Linked DNA regions of Diceros bicornis minor. The protein of the gene in region 1 purifies or fractionates together with the protein of each later gene. This does not show direct contact. Links are inferred from orthologs where the notes say so. Each region holds a gene or a part of one and is shown on either strand. Other genes may lie near its edges.

The links.
Region 2: the proteins of CD84 (region 1) and SH2D1B purify together in Homo sapiens (affinity purification with western blotting; 3 studies listed by BioGRID and IntAct, with this or other methods). This does not show direct contact. The link is inferred for Diceros bicornis minor from reciprocal best matches to the Homo sapiens genes CD84 and SH2D1B.
Region 3: the proteins of CD84 (region 1) and SH2D1A purify together in Homo sapiens (affinity purification with western blotting; 4 studies listed by BioGRID and IntAct, with this or other methods). This does not show direct contact. The link is inferred for Diceros bicornis minor from reciprocal best matches to the Homo sapiens genes CD84 and SH2D1A.

The regions. Positions count from the first base shown.
Region 1 is NC_080743.1:65,189,658-65,196,258, reverse strand, and holds the start of CD84 (SLAM family member 5), read left to right. Parts: upstream 1-2,371; 5' UTR 2,372-2,400; coding exon 2,401-2,446; intron 2,447-6,601. UniProt on the Homo sapiens protein: Self-ligand receptor of the signaling lymphocytic activation molecule (SLAM) family.
Region 2 is NC_080743.1:69,029,165-69,035,765, reverse strand, and holds the start of SH2D1B (SH2 domain-containing protein 1B), read left to right. Parts: upstream 1-2,704; 5' UTR 2,705-2,782; coding exon 2,783-2,916; intron 2,917-6,601. UniProt on the Homo sapiens protein: Cytoplasmic adapter regulating receptors of the signaling lymphocytic activation molecule (SLAM) family such as CD84, SLAMF1, LY9 and CD244. In SLAM signaling seems to cooperate with SH2D1A/SAP.
Region 3 is NC_080781.1:114,108,349-114,114,949, forward strand, and holds the start of SH2D1A (SH2 domain-containing protein 1A), read left to right. Parts: upstream 1-3,425; 5' UTR 3,426-3,581; coding exon 3,582-3,718; intron 3,719-6,601.

The DNA.
Region 1 (6,601 bases):
AGGATTTCTCAAGACATAGACATGAGACCAAGCAAGAGTTTTAGATGACAAAGGAAGGAGGATCGTTCCTACAGAGAATGAAGAAGCCAAAAAGAGAATACAAAGTCAGGTTTTCAGCAACTCTTGGCAACTGCATATTCTTTCTTCTTTCCTCCTTCTCTGTGGAACTCAGATGTGATAGACGTGTATTTTTGCACACATAGTAATTACATATTTCAGGAATACTTGCTTGCTAAAAATATTGAAAGTAATATGGTTGAATCTTGTGAAAAGAAATAATTAATTTGGGAAATTCCATTTTTATTTTCAATCCTTCTTTGGTCCCAAATGGCTGCCCAGTTTAAGACAGGAACCTAACGAGACAGGGCCATACGCACAGCCCTGGCTTAACAAGATAAGGCCCATAACCAATCCGCAAGCTAGGAGAATCAGATAGAGACCATCAAGATCCACATTCTGCAGTTTTGGGACTTTCCCAGGCTTACGCATGCGCCCTAGCACCCAGGAGTCCACCAAAGGTGACCTTAGCCCAATTAGCATAGTAAAAATCACACCCAGGGGTGGATAGCTAGCATGATAATGATACATGTGTCACATGTAGTAGCATGCTACACAACAGCGCAGGCGCAAGCACAACGCCATCTCTACATGCCATGACAAGGCACTCCTCCCCAACATTTGCCTAATAAAAACCCCACACTCCTGCTCCCTAACAACCTGGTCACTTGTCCCTTTCCTTTCTGCACCAGCTCCCTTGTGCCTCTCCTGCGCACAAGCTAATAAAATTTTACTTTTCTACTCCCCTTTGCTGTCTCTCTTGATTTCCATCCTGGGCGACAACAAGGACCCAATGTGCCAGTAACAAGTTCACTATATCTACATAAAGGCACTCAACTATTCAATATTGAACAAGTATATACGGAGAATGATGAGCAAGATTGTTCAGTAAGTGACTCTGGAGGCTCAGGTTGCCTAGAAATGTGCTAGCTGGCTAAGGACTTCTCCCAGTGGGAAAGGCTGTATACAATCTTCATTCCCCAAGTCTCAGGGTCTATCCTTAGCTTTCTTAGCACTCCTCAAAACAGCTGGGTCCAAATTCAAACTGCTTGACTTCTGGACCCAAATATTTATTCCCATCACCACTCCCTGACACCCCTCACAAAGAAGGCCCCTGTTTTTCTTCTAATCGGTAGTAGGGGGGCCTCTACTAGAGAACAGTCCTATGTTACACCTAGCTCAACCATAGTATAATAATATTAATTATATAATAATTATGTAATTATTATTATATAACTATATATAGTAGATTTATATGTAATCCTATTATATACTATTATATATAACTATAATTACGCAATATTGGTTGCTACTATTTGTTAAGCTCCTATCGTGTCAACACATTCTTCCTATTCCCTCTCCCCCACCACCTTTCTCCTAATAATGCTAACTTACTCTTAAGATCTGTCTCAGCTTAGTTCTCAGTTCCTTCATGAAGCTTTCCCCACACTCTCCTAGCCTGGGTTAGATGCCCCTGCTGCTCTCCCAGTTCCCCATAGTTTCTCTCTTGCAACATTTATCACACCGTATTGGAACTGCCTGTTTAATTGTTGATCTCCCCAACAAGAGTATGAGTAAAGTCAAGTACCTGAGGGTTCTGTAGATGTTCAATAAGCAATTTGCTGTTTTCCTGTTTAACTTGAGAGGGGACTCAGGGGTCTCGAGGATTCGTGAGCTTATTTTGCAGAAGATTTGTGAGCTTGTTTTGCAGAAGAAAGAGAATGCCTTTGGGAAGGTTACAATCACCAGATGGCTGGCCCCCAGCAGCCCTTGAAGCCCAGAAGTCAGATTGCCCAAAGGCTTATCAGGAATGACCCCTTTGTTTCTCCAAATCTCCTCTTGCCAAGCCCCTTAGCTCTATAAAACTCCCCTGCTTTCTGCTCTTGGGAAGGCAGATTTGAGTGAACTCATGCTCTCACCTTCTTGTTTCGGCCAATTCGAATAAATCTTTCTCCATTTCCTAGCACCAATGTCTCAGTGTTTGGCTTACTGCACATTGGGTGCATGAACTTGAGATTAAGAGGTTCAGTATCATGAGCTCCATGAAAGGAGGGAGATCAACTGCTTTGTTGCTCTTTATATTGCCAGTGCCCAGAATAGTACCTGGCACATAGTAGGCATTCCATAAATATTTGTTGGATAAATAACTAATTAATGCTAGGCACCTTATGTTACGTAGTAGGAAAAAAACTACCATCCCAATACATAGACAAACGTTTCCTAAACAGTTAACTCACACTTCCTTTCTTAAAGATGGCTATAAAAAGAAGCAAGAAAACTAGAGTGAAACTGACTCTGCTTGAAGAGTGCCGTTGTTGTCTACAGATTATTCTCTGGGAGAAGATGGCTCAGCGCCGCCTAGGGATCTTGCTCCTTTGCCTGCAAACCTGTGAGTTCTGACCCTTGCTGATCCCCTCCTAGTTTTCTATTAAGTTTTAGAAATTGCCCTTAAGGAAGACATTGAAATTCCCTTTTGATCTGTTTTAAAAGGGGGTCCCAAAAGAGATCCAACTGGCTGGGGAAAGACTTAAGATTTAAACCTAACTATTTTTCAGCTTTAGAGTTTATATTTCTGAATTTTGTCTGTGTCCAGTCTCCACAGGTCTGAGACAAACTCTTCTGCTCAGGAGAGTCAGCACTTGGTAGACCCACCCAGAAATCCTGGCAAGAAGAAATAATCCAAAACCTTAAATAGCTCAAAAGCAATTTCTTTTTGGCATATATAGTTTTTGGTTATATATAGTTTTGGTTATATAGTTTTTACAGAGCTACGCCATCTGCAATTCTATTTTATTTCTCCAGCAGATTAGAGTAATGCATGACTATAATTATCATTGTAAAAACTTCATCTCTATAAGCTCCCCTTATTTTCAAAGCACATTCAGAGCTATTCCTCTGCTGTATCCTCCAAAAGCTCGCAGAAATAAATGAGAAAGAGATTATTATCCCTATTTTACAAATAAGTTAGGTCTCAAAAAAGAAATGGAGAACTTGAACTAAGGCTGTTTTTCTTACTTATGGCTTAGCAGTAAACTGTAAAGGACAAAATGAATATTGGTTGTTAGTACAAAGAAAACTATGTGACATTAACGTAGCTCTGGGAGAGTTTTGTCACTGCATATATCATCTCACTAAATCTAAGCAATTGCCTTATTTATATAAAAATTGACTATGTTTGGCATTTCTAAATCTACTTAACGTATCACTTGCCTGCTCTGAAAATGCACTACCAAATTCCTGGCATGAGTTAGGACACAGAGAATCTAGTGAGTTAGGATTTCCTGAAAGGTGGAGTCAATGCACCTTGGTCTCTCTGGTTCTGAACCATTTAAAGCTGTGGTTCCTTTATTTTGATCTTCACGGAGATTGCAACCACTAGGCAGGCCAAGTTTTTGGAGCCTATGCTATTCACTCTGACACGGCAGATAGAAAATGCAAGTAGACGGGGAAAAGAGTTGGATAGAACCTAAGTGGAAATCTAGGGATGTCCCCAATCTTCCAGAAAAGGGATGGACAGGTTGGCATTTGATAATACTTACTTTGCAAAGCATTCTACAATTTTTATGCTTACATTTTTGTGTTATCCATACTAAAACCATTGAAATAAGCAAGATAGATATTATTAATCCCATCATGCAAACAAAAAAAAAGCATAAACTAAGATTCTGGTTAAAGAATTCACCTGAAGTTTCACAACCAGAAATTGGTAGAGCTGGAAATGGACATTGGTTCTTCTCACCCCAAGGCTATAGCTCTGTCTGCTCTACACTCTTTCTGACCTCCTCACTCTTTAAGTTTTCAGATCCTTGATGCTCTTCAAAGGGCTAACACATGCTACGATAAAAGGCAGCTCTAATATACACTTGCCTCATCTACTGAAACTGAAGTCAAAGTTGTCAATCAGCTAGTAGTGAATCATTTATCCACCAGATTTGTGACTTTGGGGAAGTCACATAAGCTCTCCCTGTTGTTTCGACTTCAAAATGGGGAATCTATCAGTACAATAGGATTGTTTTGAGAAGCAAAATGATAATTCATGTGCAACACTTGGCGCAGTGCCTGAATATAGTAAGTGCCTAACATATATTAGCTAACGCTGCTGTTGTCTTTCACATTCGCTTGTCACGTGATATTAGGAAGAGCTAAGGCTTTATTGCACAGAGATCCTGGACAAGGCTCTTCCATCTGGGATGGTCCAAGGAACAGGAGCAGGAGAAAAGGTGGTGGGAGTTTGAGCTGAGGTGTGGGCTGTTGGGGCTCTAAGAGAGGAAACCAGGGGTAAGATATTTATTTTGTCAGGGATCCCTGAAATGGGGGTGGGGGCTTCTTTTCATAAAAGTAAAACCAGAAGTACTTTCATGTATCATTTGTCTTTGCTGAATGGATCTGTTCACCTCATAAAGATTATTTCACAAACATTTCCTGAGTGCAGAAATATACTCTAAACTCCTCCTGCTGCTCTTTCTGGCAAACATGGTCCCTTATATTTAGCATTAGGCTTAGAAGTTAACACTGATTTTATGCACTTCCCTGGAATTCAGAGCAATGGAAGCAGCTGAGAAGCAGTGGAAAAGAAGATTAGAAATCCCCATTTTCCCTTGAAATCACTGAAATAAGAGAAGTCTTGAGTGTGTGAACTCGTGACTCTTCCATATTGGAAAAGTTTTCTCTAAGAACCAAGATTCATAGTCATGCTCTGATTTCAACTTGCTCATCAGGACTTGTGATCACTGTGACTCTGACTGTCCCTCCAAGTAGCCACCCACTCTCTGGCATAGAAGACAGAATGAGTCTACCACATTTGCTCCATGCCCATTTCTCTCTACATGTTCTCTCTCACATTCTTTTAATTCTTCCTTTTCTCCACATCTTTCTGGCTTATTTCTTCAACCCTTCCCCTTGCTCCCTTCTCCTATCTCCCACCAATAATAGTAATAACTAACCATTTATGGAACAATCACTACATGTCTGGCATTACTCTAAGTAGTCTACATTTATTGTTTTGTTTAATCCTCAGAATGCTCTATGAGATGGGTACTATTCATATATTTCAATTTTACAGATAAAAACATTGAGATGCAGAAAATTAGAGGTCACTTAACCAAAAAATAGAGGAAGTAGGATTTGAACTCCAGTGTCTTTAGATTTAACCACTGAGCAATGCTGCCTCCACCAACTTTGATGCTGAAGTGGAATAAAATACTGTCCTTACTATTGATAGTTATCACATTGCGGGAATTTTTAGTGAAAAGTAGTGATTTATTCTCAACAAGATAGGATTAGTCAGAGGCCTGGGCCTGTTTCTACACCCACCTGTAGAGGAGGGTGGGGTTTGGTGGGCAGGCTTTTGTCAATAACAAAAGTTTAGGCAGGCCAGCAAGGCGGAATACCAAAGGAAAATACCATATTCCGACATGGTTCAAGTACCATCCTCATCGATACGATTTGGGTTGACTTGAATTAGCTTCTTCAAGACAAACAAGGGTCCAGTATCAACAAAGTCTTGATGTCCTGTTGAATCTAGAACACAGTCGTGGGGCATTCCAATAGTTAATACTTAGAAGTCCAAAAAATGAGTGGGCTCATCTGGATATCTGTCCGTGAATAAGTAGGCCCCAACCATCATTCTGGGGGTTAGATACAGGATTTCACACCTGGAGAAGAGTCCTGGCAAGAGCCAATTTGCCACTAGTCCAAAATCCTTGCAGAGAGGAGCCTTTAAGATGAAAACAAAGCCTCTGTTCTAGAAAGAGATTTGAGCAGACTACTACCACAGACACTCAGAAAAGCCTCAAAAGCAGAAGCTCAGTTATAGAAATGGAAAAGTAATATCATGAATGAGGAAAACTGGATATCAGGACATCAGCTGGAAAATCCAGTTTCCAAATAGAGGCCAGGACGCTGTGTCCCTATGATAACACAGGACTCCAGTAGGAGGGAGTAAAGACCCATCTTGTCAGCCTGCTCAGCCCTGGAAATCAATATCGTAACCAACAAAGCAGCCATAGTGCCTTCACAGCAGATGCCCAAAGGTCAGTGCTAGGCTACTCAGGTATTTCCTGAATCAAACCTTTCTTGTCTTGAATCTTGGAGAGGGATGAATTTGCAAGTTTGAGGGTAACTAGGCTCATCTATGTGGAAGCTGGAAACGAAAGAGGTATAAGCAATCAGTCGGGGGACTGATGTTGGTGGAGCTGACTATATACCCGTATTTCTTGTGTTATACTCAATTTCTGATTATGTGCTAGTAGAGGGGAGTGGTGATAAAACAAATGGTTGGCCAGGATCCCATCTCTGTTTTGAGAATTTGTGTGTGTTTTTGTTTGTTTTGAAAAAGTGGATTCAAGTCAACCCAAATCTCAATAAAGATGATAGGCAGTAAAAAATCCAGCAGAAAATAGTATACTATTGTATGGAAGTGGTAGCTTCCTTTTTTTAAAATCTCCTAACCAAGGAATTTCCATCCTCGAGAAGAAAGACACAAAACTTCTGGCTGCTCAACCTTTTGCTTCATCTTTGCCCTCTATTTCCTTCACTCAGTATA
Region 2 (6,601 bases), about 3.8 Mb from region 1:
TAGCATCTGTTGCCAATCTTCCTCTTTTTTTGCTTGAGGAAGATCCACCCTGACCTAACATCTGTGCCAATATTCCTCTATCTTGTATGTGGGTCGCCGCCACAGCATGGCTGACAAGTGGTGTAGGTCTGCTCCTGGAATCCGAACGCGTGAACCTGGGCCACCAAAGTGGAGCACACTGGACTGAACCACTAAGCCAAGGGGCTGGCCCCAAGTTCAACTTTTTTTGAAAGTACACTCCACAGTGGTGCTGTGTGTTTCCTGCTGCATCAAATTAGTAGGCATTCAATATCTGGTTGTCCCACTCTTAGATGTGCTAAGATTGGTCAGTGGGTTTAGGTGGTGACAGCATGATCTCTCCCTTGTAAAGACCATTATCAAACATTTCCCTAAAGTTTTCACCCACTGACTATCTTTGCCTGAATTATTTAGTACAAAATAGAATTGAGATGGTTCTATCAGAGGGTAAATGCCTATACAAATTTGCTAGATATCGCCAAACTCTCCTCCATTGTAGTTGTAACCATTTCATATTCCAGCCAACAATGTATGAGATTTTATTCTATTTCACCCCAGCATGACCAACCCAGTATGTTTTCAAACTTTTGATTTGCACCAATATGATAGGTGGGAGATGTTATCTCAGTATGTATTTAATTTGCGTTGTTCTTATGTTGAGCAAGGATGAGGGCATTGGGTTTTGACACAGGAAAAAAAGGCATTAAAGACCCTGTGATGCTAAAGATCTTGAACATGCATCCAATTATTTCCTCCCTTATTTTAAAAAAAATATCCTTGCATCAAGCTTGGTAGCCAATTTCCTCTTTCATCAGTAAAAATTCTCTCCTGAACTGCCATAATTCCCAGGAAGTTAAATGGTGAATTGCCCAAGGCCACACAAGAGAAATCAGGATTTGAAAGCACATTTCTCTGATGACAAGTTCCTTGATTAGTGTCACTCCATTACACCACATTACACCAACCCTGGAGCAGTGGAACTTCCAAGGAGGAACGAAAATCTCCTACTAAGAAGTTCAATGCAAGACAGATCCCCAAGAGTGGGTGGGCAGCTCGTAAACAAAGCAGCAAGATGAAATAATCATCTGGGTTAAGAAAGCATTAAGAGAAGTAAGGATGATTCATGAGCACATGGTTCTATCTTTATAGATATATATTTGAGATATGTAGCAATTCCTATAGATATTTGGATAAGGCAGTTGAATAGGGAGAAATTCACATGCAGTTTATAACAACTGACATTGCGTGATGTTAATTGTGAGAGTTAGTAAATGTAATCCATTTTAAAACATTGGATGCTAGATATGCTTGCATGACTTCTTCTATCTGAAATTAATTAATTAAAAATTAATTAATTGATAATGTGTAGGATGGTTTTGTTGCTTAAAAAGGCCTTGGAGGAAATAGTGAGACGTTGGTCAAAGGGCGCAAACTTCTAGTTAGTAGATGAATAAGTTCTGGGTATCTAATGTACAGCATACTGATGATAGTTAATAATACTGTCTTATATACTTGAAAGTTTCTAAGAGAGTAGATCTTAAATGTTCTCACCACAAAAAAGAAATGGTATTTATGGGACAAGGTGGAGATGGTAGCTACTGCTATGGTGATAATCATTTTATAACGTATAAGTGTATCACATCAACACGCTGTACACCTTAAACTTACACAGTGTTATATGTGAATTTCAATAAAGTTGGGGAAAAACAGGCCTTGGAAATTACTCTTAGGGTTAACTCTGACCCTCGGATAACAGAAACCACCTTTCCCAAGAATGTCAGTTGATCAAAGTGGAAAAGGCTCAGCAGGAAAACAAAGGAATTTTCTCATCAACATCAGATTGTCTAAAGGGGGCCAAGTATCTCTGACTAGATAGACTTTTCTTGGTCTCTCTTCATGGGGACACATCACTGCTGTCCTCCAGGACGGGAACTTCAAAGGACCTGAAGGTCTTCAAACCCAAGCCTAATATCCTCTTTTCTTCCACCCAGAGAAGCATCCTTGCACTAACTTTGTATACCCAGATAATCCCTCCCACCTGCACCAGCTCCTTCCCCAAAAGGCACAGTGCCAGAGAATGTTAAAAATGGCCTTTGTTTACCAGTGGCTAGCAGCTTTAGCCAGGGAATGGGCTGTTCTCTGCTATGGTGTCCAATTGCTTTCTGTTTCCATTGACATCTGCCATTTTTCACGTCATTTGACCCATGGAAATCTTACCTTTTCAATTGTCCCATCGTGTCTAGACATATCTGGATTCATTCAGCATCCAAACACTTTTGAGCACCTGTTCTGAGCTAAGCATAGCATAATCACAGGCAGCTTCAGCAGAAAATGGGCACCTATTATAGCAGAAACAGTGGTGTGCTCTCTGGAAGGGACACCAGTAGCCAGAGAGAAGGGGAAAACTGGTGATTTAGGGTGATATACAAGGCTCCAACCCAGTGCCGGGGAGCTTGACTTCAGCATTGCAGCCCCATCCCCGTACATCACTGATTCTGTTGTGTAATCAAACATGCTCTCAGCCACTTCTGTGAGTCACACTTGGGCCACTTATAGGCTGAAAAGTCTTGGTCACTTTATCACCCCCACCCTTCTCATTTCCTGAATCTTGCGAAATTGGTGGAGTCCCACAGAACAACTTCATCTCATTGCTACCAATCAGAGGAGAAAGAGGTACCACAGCGGGCCCCATTAGGCCAGCTGCCTCCACTTCCCTTCTCAAGGCCGTCGCCCACTGGATTTCAGGGATACGAGAGGGCTCTCCATGGATCTGCCTTATTACCACGGGCCTCTGTCCAAGAGAGACTGTGAGACCTTGCTGCTCAAGGAAGGGGTGGATGGCAACTTTCTGTTAAGAGACAGTGAGTCTCTTCCAGGAGTCCTGTGCCTCTGTGTCTCGTGAGTAGCCTCATCTTCCATGCATTTGAAACTTTGTATTGAATGTAGTAATGATAACCAAAGTCCTAATGAGCAGGGTGAGAAATAGCTGGACACTGCAAGGAGAGGTTGGAAGGAATGTGTCTGTCTAAGCTTCTCCAGCTGCGCTTCTCTCCCTGGTACAAATGCCACAGGAGCAGACTCTCTGGAATAGCCAAAGTGGGGGGCAGTGGTGGTGAAGGGAAGGGCTGCAGGAAGCATGGGCGGTGAGGGGAAATGCAGAGAAGGTAGCCATGTGAGAAAGGTCCTTTCCAGTAGAAGTCACTTTATTTGGAAATATAACCGTATGGAAAAGGCTAGGGACCTTTTATGAAATTTCAGCTTGAGAGAACACGTTTTTACATGTATTCTGCTGGCTCCACTTGCAATACTTAAAATACTTATTATATTTCAAATTTTGTTAGATTTGTAAAGGGCTTCACACACATCATTTCCTTTCATCCTTCTTGTCATCTGTCAAGGCAAGCATAAGCAGTCCCCATTTTCTAGATGAGAAACAGAGACCTGGAGTTCTCAAATGACTTGCTTGTGTTAAAATTCATCTGGCATTTCCAAAGGTCTGAGTTCAGTATGAAATTCCAGGCCAGAGTATCAGAGCTACCATGTTTAGCCCAGTTTAGAAAGCAATTCAGAACACATATCAGCGGGAATCCACTATCTTTAAGTATCCTCCTCTTTACAGAGAACACTGAACTTTTTCTTCTACCTGTTATAGGAATTAAAACTCAAATTTCTCTATGGATGCACTTCAGTGCTTCTTAGAATTAGGGAGCTATGAGTACAAATTCAAAGAATGATGACATACCATTTTTGCCTATTCAATGGGCAAGAATTAAAACTATGAAAATACTCAGAGGTAATTAGAGTGCTGGGAAGCAGACAGCCTTGCACACGCTAATGCAGCCTCTTTGGATGGTAATGTGGCCAAAACATAATATACATGGATATAACCCTTGACCTCAAATTTCACTAATAAAAATCTATCTTATAGTTATGACTCCACAGTATGTGCAAATTGGCATTAACAAGATTGGGCAAATCTATGTATGGTGTGAAAAACCTCTAAGATCTATTGTTGTGTAAAAAAGGCAAGATGCAAAGTTTGATTCCATTTGTGTAAAAAAAAAAAGATACCTATATCCTTGTATATTCATATAAAATTTCTAGAAGGTATACAAGAAACTTATAATAGTGGTTACAGCTGGGAATTTAGATGGAGTGAGTTAGGAAAAGGGTTGTGGATTCATTCTTTTCATTTGATAACTTTTTTTTACTGTTTAAATGTTTTATTTGTGTGCGTATTATTTTTGTAATTTAAAAAATGTCTATAAAAATGTAGTGAATACCTACTATCTATTCAAACACTGTGCTAAGGCCTGGGAAGATTCTAAGGTGATTTCAAGCCTTCTAAGAAGGCTTAGAGGAGGTGGTATTTGAGCTGGGACTTAAAGAGTGGGTAAGATTTGGTTACATGGAAATGGGATGGAAGGCGTTTTAGGGAAGGGTGGAGGTAGGAAAAGAGGTCTAGAATAGAATATTTTAAAGCACACATGAATCACGTAGGGTGCTGGAAAGGTAGTTTGGAAACCAACTTTCAGAAAAGTAGGTGTAGCATAGTATTATGGGGTCTTTAAAAAAATGATTCTGTAGCTAATGGGGGAACATGGATGGTTTCTGAGCAGAGAAGTGACAAGACTGGTGCTGAGTTTAGGAACTCCAATCTGATATGGAGAATGTACCGAAGCTGACAGATGATGGCCATAGAGACTGTTGTGTCTCTGGATGGGAGATGGGGAGGAACTAGCTATGGTGGGGCAAGCAGTGGGAAGAGAAAAAAGAAGAAGTTGCAAGGGTGTGACCTTGACCAAGATCTCAGGGTAAGTAGTCTATTTTGGGATTCTCTTTAAAAATTGACATTTATTCTCAACTGTTCTGTGGTGTATCAATCTAGCTTATATATTCATCTAAAGAGAAAGTCACTAAGAAATGTAAAAAATAATAATAATAAATCAAATGGAGAGGCAAGAACCAATATTTGTTGGGCACCTGCACATGATCAAGCCTCACCCTACTCCTTGCCCATGTCACTGAAAGGCAGACAAAATTTCAGGAACCCTCAGGCTTAAGGCTCAGGCCAAATAGCCCACATCAAAATGGCTCTCATCATAGTCCTTGTGAAATTTTGTTATCACACAGATCAGTACAGACCATTCAATTCTAGTTGCTCAACAATTATTTAAAGTCTCTCTGGGCCGGCCTCGTGGCTTAGCGGTTGAGTGCTTGCACTCCGCTGCTGGCTGCCGGGGTTCGGGTACCGGTCGTGCACCGACGCACCGCTTGTCCGGCCATGCTGAGGCCGCGTCCCACATACAGCAACTAGAAGGATGTGCAACTATGACATACAACTATCTACTGGGGCTTTGGGGGAAAAAAATAAATAAATAAAATTATAAAGTCTCTCATATGCCAGGCACTATGCTAGACCCTCAGTTGGTGCCTTCAACACCGCTCAGAGCCTGGAGGAAGCAATAGGGAGGTAAATGGACACTGTGAGGTGTGGGATAACTGTAATGACCACTCTCAGCAGGGCAACTTCTAGTTTTCACAGACTGAAATACAAAAACTATAGGAAAGGTTAGAAATAAAGGAAGGAAGTCACAGAGACAGTTGGCCCAGCAGGATATAGCATTGACCAGAAAGCTATGTGGTAACAGTGGACAGGAAATCTTACCTGATCTCAGTATGATATAGCTTCCAGAAAACACCAACGTGCAAAATGTTGTCTGTGTAGTGTGACTTTGTGGGTGTCAGAAGTTGAAGCTAGGTCTGCCTTTAGAATCAGTACAGTCAAAATGAAGTGGATATTAGGAGATGGAAGGGACTCATCTGCAGCGTGAAGGTGAGGAGAGACTTTCTGTAGCCGCAGGAAGGCTGCAGGTGAGAAGAACCTGAACCTTGACTTACTGCACGAACTCACTGAGGAGGAAACAGCAATAGAAAGAATGAGTAGAAGAGACCTCAAGAGTCATCTCCAGCTCTCAGATTTTGAGCTCTTTGGAAAGACTCTAGAGTTCAGAAAGAAAAAATAATTCAAAATTTTTGTTGTTTTAGAAAATCAAATGCAGAGAAAGAATAAAAAGGAAAGCAGAAATTATCTCAATCTCACCACTCAGAAATCACGCTTTCTGATATTTCAGCACCCATCTCTCCAGACTTCTCTCTATGCATATGCACGTATAAGCAAATATATATGTGCATAAATGGTTCATGTTACATGATGGCCTGTTTCTTTCAATGTATTGTAGGTATCTTTCCACGTCAGAGAAAGCCAATACACATCATCCTTTCACGACCGCTTAGTATTTTATTGATTGGATATATCATAATTTAGACATAAGCACACAATTAGGTTATTTCCAATTTGGTCCAATGGATCCAATGTAATTTGAGACTATTAACATTTTTGTACTTACATCTTTGAAAGCTTGCCCAACTCTCTCCTTAGGATAAAATCCTAGATGTTTTAACATTTCTACACACATTGACAAATGAGTACAACAAAAGGTTGTACCAATGCACATTCCAATCAAGATCAGTGAGAAGGCCAGAAGTCAAAAGTCTTAAAACATTCTTTATTGCCTTGGGT
Region 3 (6,601 bases), on another chromosome or scaffold:
CACACAACAACCCTGACTCTGGCTTCTCACTTACAAAAGGGCATTCGAAAAATTAGCCTCATAGGTAAAACCCAGATCTTATCAAAAGGAGGTGCTCTTTTTTTAAGACATTTTTTTTTCTTTTCTCATTTTTGTAAAGGAAGTGAATTTTAGTAAGTGCCGAGAGAAGGTGTAAACTCACCACTGGTGACAATATCATAACACTGTCACAGGAGAATTCACACCTATAGATGAGCTAGTTGAAGAACAAAGTTAGTTTTGAAAGGTTAGAGAAAAGGATTTTGAAATGTCAGATCCACTCTATAAAATTGACCACCCTTGGCATCATCCCTTTAATCTACCTGGGTTTGAGAATAGCCTAGAGCATTTGAAATGAAGACAATTAGCACCTCAGACAGGGCATCCACATGTAAAATTCTGTCACCTCTCGGAGACCTCAGGAGGTGTCAAGTTTAGATAAGAAGACACTTTCAACCTTGGCTGACAGTTTGTCAGTGCTTTTATATTTGATTTAAATGGCATCTGTATTCTAAAAGGTTGTACTTTGCTTTAAACTGTGAAGCCCTCTTCCTCCATCTCATGATTTTTATTTCTTGCATCATTTAAAAACAACAAGAATAAAGATCTTTCCTCTATTGGGTGAGACCTGAGGAAACAGCTCTTGCTTCTTGCACACAAATGAGCTCAGTCCTTTTCCCCTCTGTTTCTCTCTAAAGTACGTTCGGCTTTTGTTTAAAGCACAGAATGTTAAAGCTGGAAGTGGCCTTAGGGGTCATCTGGTTCAACTCCGTTTGACAGATGGAGAAAATGAGACTCAGAGAGAGGAAGTGATTTAGTGGCGAAATATGGAATATAATTTGACTCTCATAATTGCTGGACTAGTCCTCCTTCCAATTCATCTTGCCATTTCAAAGGTGGGCCAGAGGCATGGAGAATCAAATTTGTGTGTGTGTGTGTGTGTGTATTTTTTTCTCTTATTTTCTTGAGAGCACTAAGTTCATTCATTTGTTCACTCATAAATACATTTAGCATCTAATATGTGCCAGATGCCGGCTACACAGTGGTGAACAAGGTACACAAAATCCTGATGTCATGGACCCTATGTTCTAGTGGGGAAGACAGACAATAAACAATCAGATAAGTCCGCTTCTAAGTGGATTATACTTGTATTTGGGGCCCATTCTTCCTAACTCTTTCTCTATTGGTGCCTCCACTATCTCTACTGCTCCCCTCTTTCAGCTTTTCCCCTTTCCTCTCTTGTAGGTATGGTGAGAGAGAAGGAAGAGAGCCATTTCAATCTCTCTTTCTCCACACTTCAAGCTCAGCGTGAAGTTTTGAATTTGCTCAAGTCAGGTTTAGTAACGGTGTAGCACTAGAGTGAAGATGTCAGTGTTTTTCATCAACACTGCAGTAGTGGGCTGGCTCAGCTGTCAGCTTGCTTGTGAGATGACAATGAGGGACTGGATGTGAGAGTTGTACTATTACCTTATAATTTGTCTGTTCTTTTATTATACGATTTTAGTTGTGCTGAACCCCACCGTACCTGGGTGCTTTGACAGCTGTGCTATTTTAGCAATACGGAACAAAACAGAGAACGAAAAGAAGAATGCATGGTACGCTTTTGCTGTCAGATCCAGGTTGCTCTGTTCTTAAGTTTGCGGATGATTTGTTCAGGGTTGTTCAGAGACAAAAAGGCTGGAGTTTTCTTTTTACCTATGTGACACTGAATGTTCTCACAGTTTACCTCACAGGCGGGCTGTTGTCCATATGGATTGGATGAGGGGATCCCCTTCCCTACCTTTTCCTTTCGTGTTTGAAATTCCACCATTGTGATTAATTTCTCTGGGCTAAGCATTTGCCTGCTCAAAATATAAAGATTTCAGGGTGGACTAACCTCTCACATCCTTAACATTGGTGTATTATCAGGTCAATTTCTTCCTTAACCCAAAGCGTGAAAAAGGATGAGAGGTGGAGTTGGCCATAAATGAATGAGGTAGGAAGATGATAAGACAATCTTGATTCAATTCCCCAGAGCCATCCCCAAATATCATCTTGAATGCTATTTTATTTATTTATTTTTTAATTTTGGTATTGCAAATGACTGTAGGAGGCTTATGTTCATGTTTTATCTACTAAGATTGATAGATTCTAAGGCTGGGCATACTTCAATCAAGAAGGAGAGCTGCCAATGAAATCTTAGAGGATTATTCTCAACCCTAGCGGGAGGATAGCAAATATCTAGCTTTGGTGCAAAGGCAGCTCTGTGCATCCGATCCATTGGTAGGACATGTGAGGACTTAAAAATTGTTCTCCCTTTCGAACTCCCAGCCTTGCCGTGTTCTCAAGGAACTAGGCGCTGAAGTTGTGGAAGATATACAACAGACAACGTAACTTCAGCTATTTAAATTCCAATTTTAAAAGTATTTTACATAATCAAAAGGAAAAATGTATAAGACCGTTCAGCTTCAAGCATTAAACAAAGTCTTATTCTAGCGAAAAAGGAGGAAGTTTACGGGAAATATTACTTAACAGCACATTTTGAAATAAAAGCATGGCTTTATTTCAGAGAAGGAAATGAAGGTTGAAAGGTTTTAAAAAATTAATGATAATTTAGCATCAACTGGAGAAAAAACATATTCTCTATTAACAACAGAGGATAAAAGTTACAACACAATTATCAACACTTGCAATATGATTTAAAACAAGTTTTATGCCCCAAATTCTGAAAGGTGGGCCCTATGACATCAGAGGGCATATACAAGTCCACATAAAGACAAAACACCACTAAATGATACATTCTCTCATTCAAGGCCCATCAAATAGCTAAATCTGGAACATGTCTGGACATAGAGTAATTTTTGTACCTCAAGCAGCACTTTGGGATCTTGGACAAGAAGGTAGGAAAAATCTGTATTTGTTCAAGATCAAGATTGCTCAAGAAGACTAGGAGGAGCAGAAGAGGAGGGGGCCTAGGGAGGGAGAGAAGATACTTGCCCCAAGTCCCTTGTTCACCTACTACTTCTGATTCTGTAGGAGCCTCCTGGCTATGCTCAGTTTTGGTCTCAGAGCTTTTGGCCCTTTCATTCTCTGTCAGTATTTTTCTGCCCGCATGAAGGCCATGTACAACTTGCCTCTATCATCACTCCCTTTTGGGAATAGTTAAGCTAAGTCACCCCTGGTGTTCGGTCCCTGGGAAAATGCAAGAACAGAAGCATTATCAAGCATTCCTGCGTGCAAGGGTCTGCATTGGCAGTGCCGCCCACATCTTGCAAGGACCTTCTTCCAATTGTCCTCCCCTCTCCGTATGAACCCTGTTTTTTTTTGGGGGGGGCGGGTTAGGAGGGGCGAGTGGGGAGGGGATCAAACCCTGTGGCGATAACCAAGCTGCTGAATCGCTGAGCAGGTTTTAATTGAAGTGTGAGAAGGAGGTTTTAAGGCAGGTAGACAACATCCTGTTGTTAGGGCGCTCCCCTCTCTTTTTTGCACATCTGGCTGAACTGGGAGTCAGGTGGCTGACTCGTGCCTGGTTGCCATCCCTTCAACCGTCCCACGCCTCGGCCCGCCCAAGAGTCCACCAAGCCATGGATGCGGTGACTGTGTATCATGGCAAAATCAGCCGGGAGACCGGGGAGAAGCTCCTGCTCGCCACGGGTCTGGACGGCAGTTATTTGCTGAGGGACAGCGAGAGTGTCCCGGGCGTGTACTGCCTGTGTGTGCTGTGAGTACGTCGCGGCCGCGGCTGGGGCTGGGGCCTGCAGAGGGCACGGGCAGCGGGCACGGGCAGTGGGCACGGGCGGCGGGGGGCCAGAGGCCTCAGTAGGCAACGGGTGGGCAGCAGGAGCTCGTCGAGGCCTCCTCCACTGCCCACCAGAGAGCCCTAAGGGCTTTCTCAGAGCCAGCCCAGGGCTGTGGTGGACCATGCTTTGGCCTAGGCCCCCAGTGGAGATTTCACTCCCTGGGCCCTCCCGCTCTCCAGAAGGGCCTCGCCCGGGCCGTTTAGGGCAGCTGCAGAGAATGCCCTTTGGGGTAGGGAAACGCAGCCTAGAATTTACCTTTGCTCCGAGAAAGACCCAGACTCCCGAATTCCGTTTTGACCTCCATTAGAGGCCAGCAAGCTGGAACCCTAGGAGGGTGGACAGGCCAGATTTGGGGCCACCAGCTCCTGAGAGAATGAAGGGCCTCTCCCTAGATCTCTTTAAATGGATTCGGAGGTGTCATGTGAAAAGAAGACCATCACATTCAGGGAGAGGAAGAAGACTAAGAAACTGAATCCACTACTAAGAATGCAATGCCAGTTAGGTCAGGACGCCGAGACGGAGATGTTTGTGAGTGAAACTGACTCTCTGGATCTGCTTATTTAGCTTCCTTTAGAGGAGTTGTGTGGGGGCAGGGGGTTTCAGAAATAAGACCCTTTCTTGATATAAACTAGGACTGACAACAGTCGTAAAGGGCATGGAGGGAAAACACCCTTGTTGTGATTCAACTTTGCCGTTTACCTAGGCATGTCTTAGTCTGACACCTCATTTTGAAGCAGATGCACCTTCATCTTTGCTCCAGGGCTCCAGAGTCAGGCAGAACTGAGACTTAATCCTGTGCTTGTCCAATGCTAGGCTTGTGACCTTGGCAAGTTAACTTCTCAGTCTCTCAGTTTTCTGGTCCATAAAATGGGTATAATATGACTACCTACTTCATAGGATTGTGAGGATTAAATGCCATAATGCAAGTAAAAAATTTAGCACTGGACCTGATACATAGTAAATGTAAGCTGTAGTTATTAATATATGCTTTTCTTCAGTCGATTTCTTTCAGTACTCATGGGGCATTTCTAAGGAAGTACCTAGCTCAATCACTTTTTGTCAGCAGGATAAAAATAGCCATGAAAAGACTGGCTCTGCACAATAGGTTCTAGACAGAAACAAAATGAGGGAAAATTCTTGGTAGTAATTTTGGTACCTAATGATACACTGTGAGCTTTTGAAGTACCCTCTGGGTCAGTGAAGAAAGATTATGCTGAGGTGTTAGAGGATTTTCTTTATTTTTTTAAATGGTCAAGCCATGTGTGGGGCAACTCTCAGGCCATGCTAAATACATTTATTATAAAGGCTTCAAGGGAAGTACGTGGAAGCCGTTGAATCTCTTGGGCTCAGATCTTTATGTTTTGCTTATATTATTGTTTTTCCCAGGTGGAAACTGGGCAAGGTCAATGAAAACCAACTAGTATTCTTAGGCCCTTTTCTTATCAAAAGAAGGTGGAGGAGTGAGTAGGCCAGCAAAAGGGGCTTCTTTAGGGAAGCTGACGTAGGAGGTAATGGGCCCCTTAACCTAGAGGTCAAAAGTAAGGTACAGAAGCCTGGGCAGGGGAGGGAGAGCAGGGGACAGTGTGTGGCAAGATGCGCCTAAGGCTTCAGCCACACTGGCCTTTTTGTTGTTCTTTAAGCTTGCCAGGCATGCTCCCCTCTTAGGATCTTTGCACTTACTGTTCCTTCCGCCTCGTCCCTCAGAGAGGACTTCCTTGACCACCCTATCTAAAATAAGTGCCCTCTCTCCGTCTCTGTTACACTCTATCACTTTATTTTATTTTTCTTCAAGGAGCTTTAAACTATCTGACATTTCCTTGTTTATTTATTTATTGCTAGGCTCTCCTGTTAAAAAGTAATCTCCACGAGGGCAGGGACATTTTCTCATGCACCAGGAACACAGCCTGGCACATAATAGGCATTATGATGCACATTAGGAGGTATGTAATGGGCACTCAATAAATATTTTTGAATTAATGAATGAATTGTCAAGGCAAATACTGTTCTTTACTGCAAAGAGCTTTGGGCTGATATCAGGAGGCCAGGGTGTAGTCTCGAGAAGTCACTCAACTTTTCTGGGTCTTGGTTTCCATATTTGTAAAACAGGAATAGGGATGTGTGCCCCACCTTCTGCATAAGATTACTGTTGGTAAAATATTCAAGAGAGGTGGACAACTCTAGGCCTTTGCCCATGTAGGCCAGGACCACATATGGAATTAATTTAGGCTGGTGGGAAATTCTCAAACATTTAAGTTTTCACCCAAAGTGAATCTTACATAAATGCAGTTTTGATGACTCTTAGTTCTCCATGCAAACCTCTTTATGAAGTAGCAAAAAAATAATAGGCAAATTGGGAGTCCGTCTAGCATGTCTTTTGATGGGCGCACTGGAGCCACCACGTCTTAGAGGGTGATTGCCACACTGTGCTGCTGAGGGAAGACACAAGGATACATTGCCTTTTATGACAGTTGCTCAACCTTTTTGAGCCAAGAGTCCCTTTTGATAAACGTAAACATTTTATTCCCCCTTTTTAGTACTACACTGTAGTAACAAAATTAAATTTTATTTTGAAATAAACCACGTACTCATTTTAAACAAAAATGTATATGCTTATGATATGCAGTAGAAATAACAATATAAATGGTGTCCTATACACATGAACAGCAAGGTATAGCTAATAAACATGCATTGATTGTAGGGTTGGTTCAGAATAGTTTCTCATTCTGTCTTTTGTTTATTCCCATTATCCAGGAAGGTTTGGTTGAGCTTTAGTTTCTGTACTTTTATTGTGGAATAACACATTG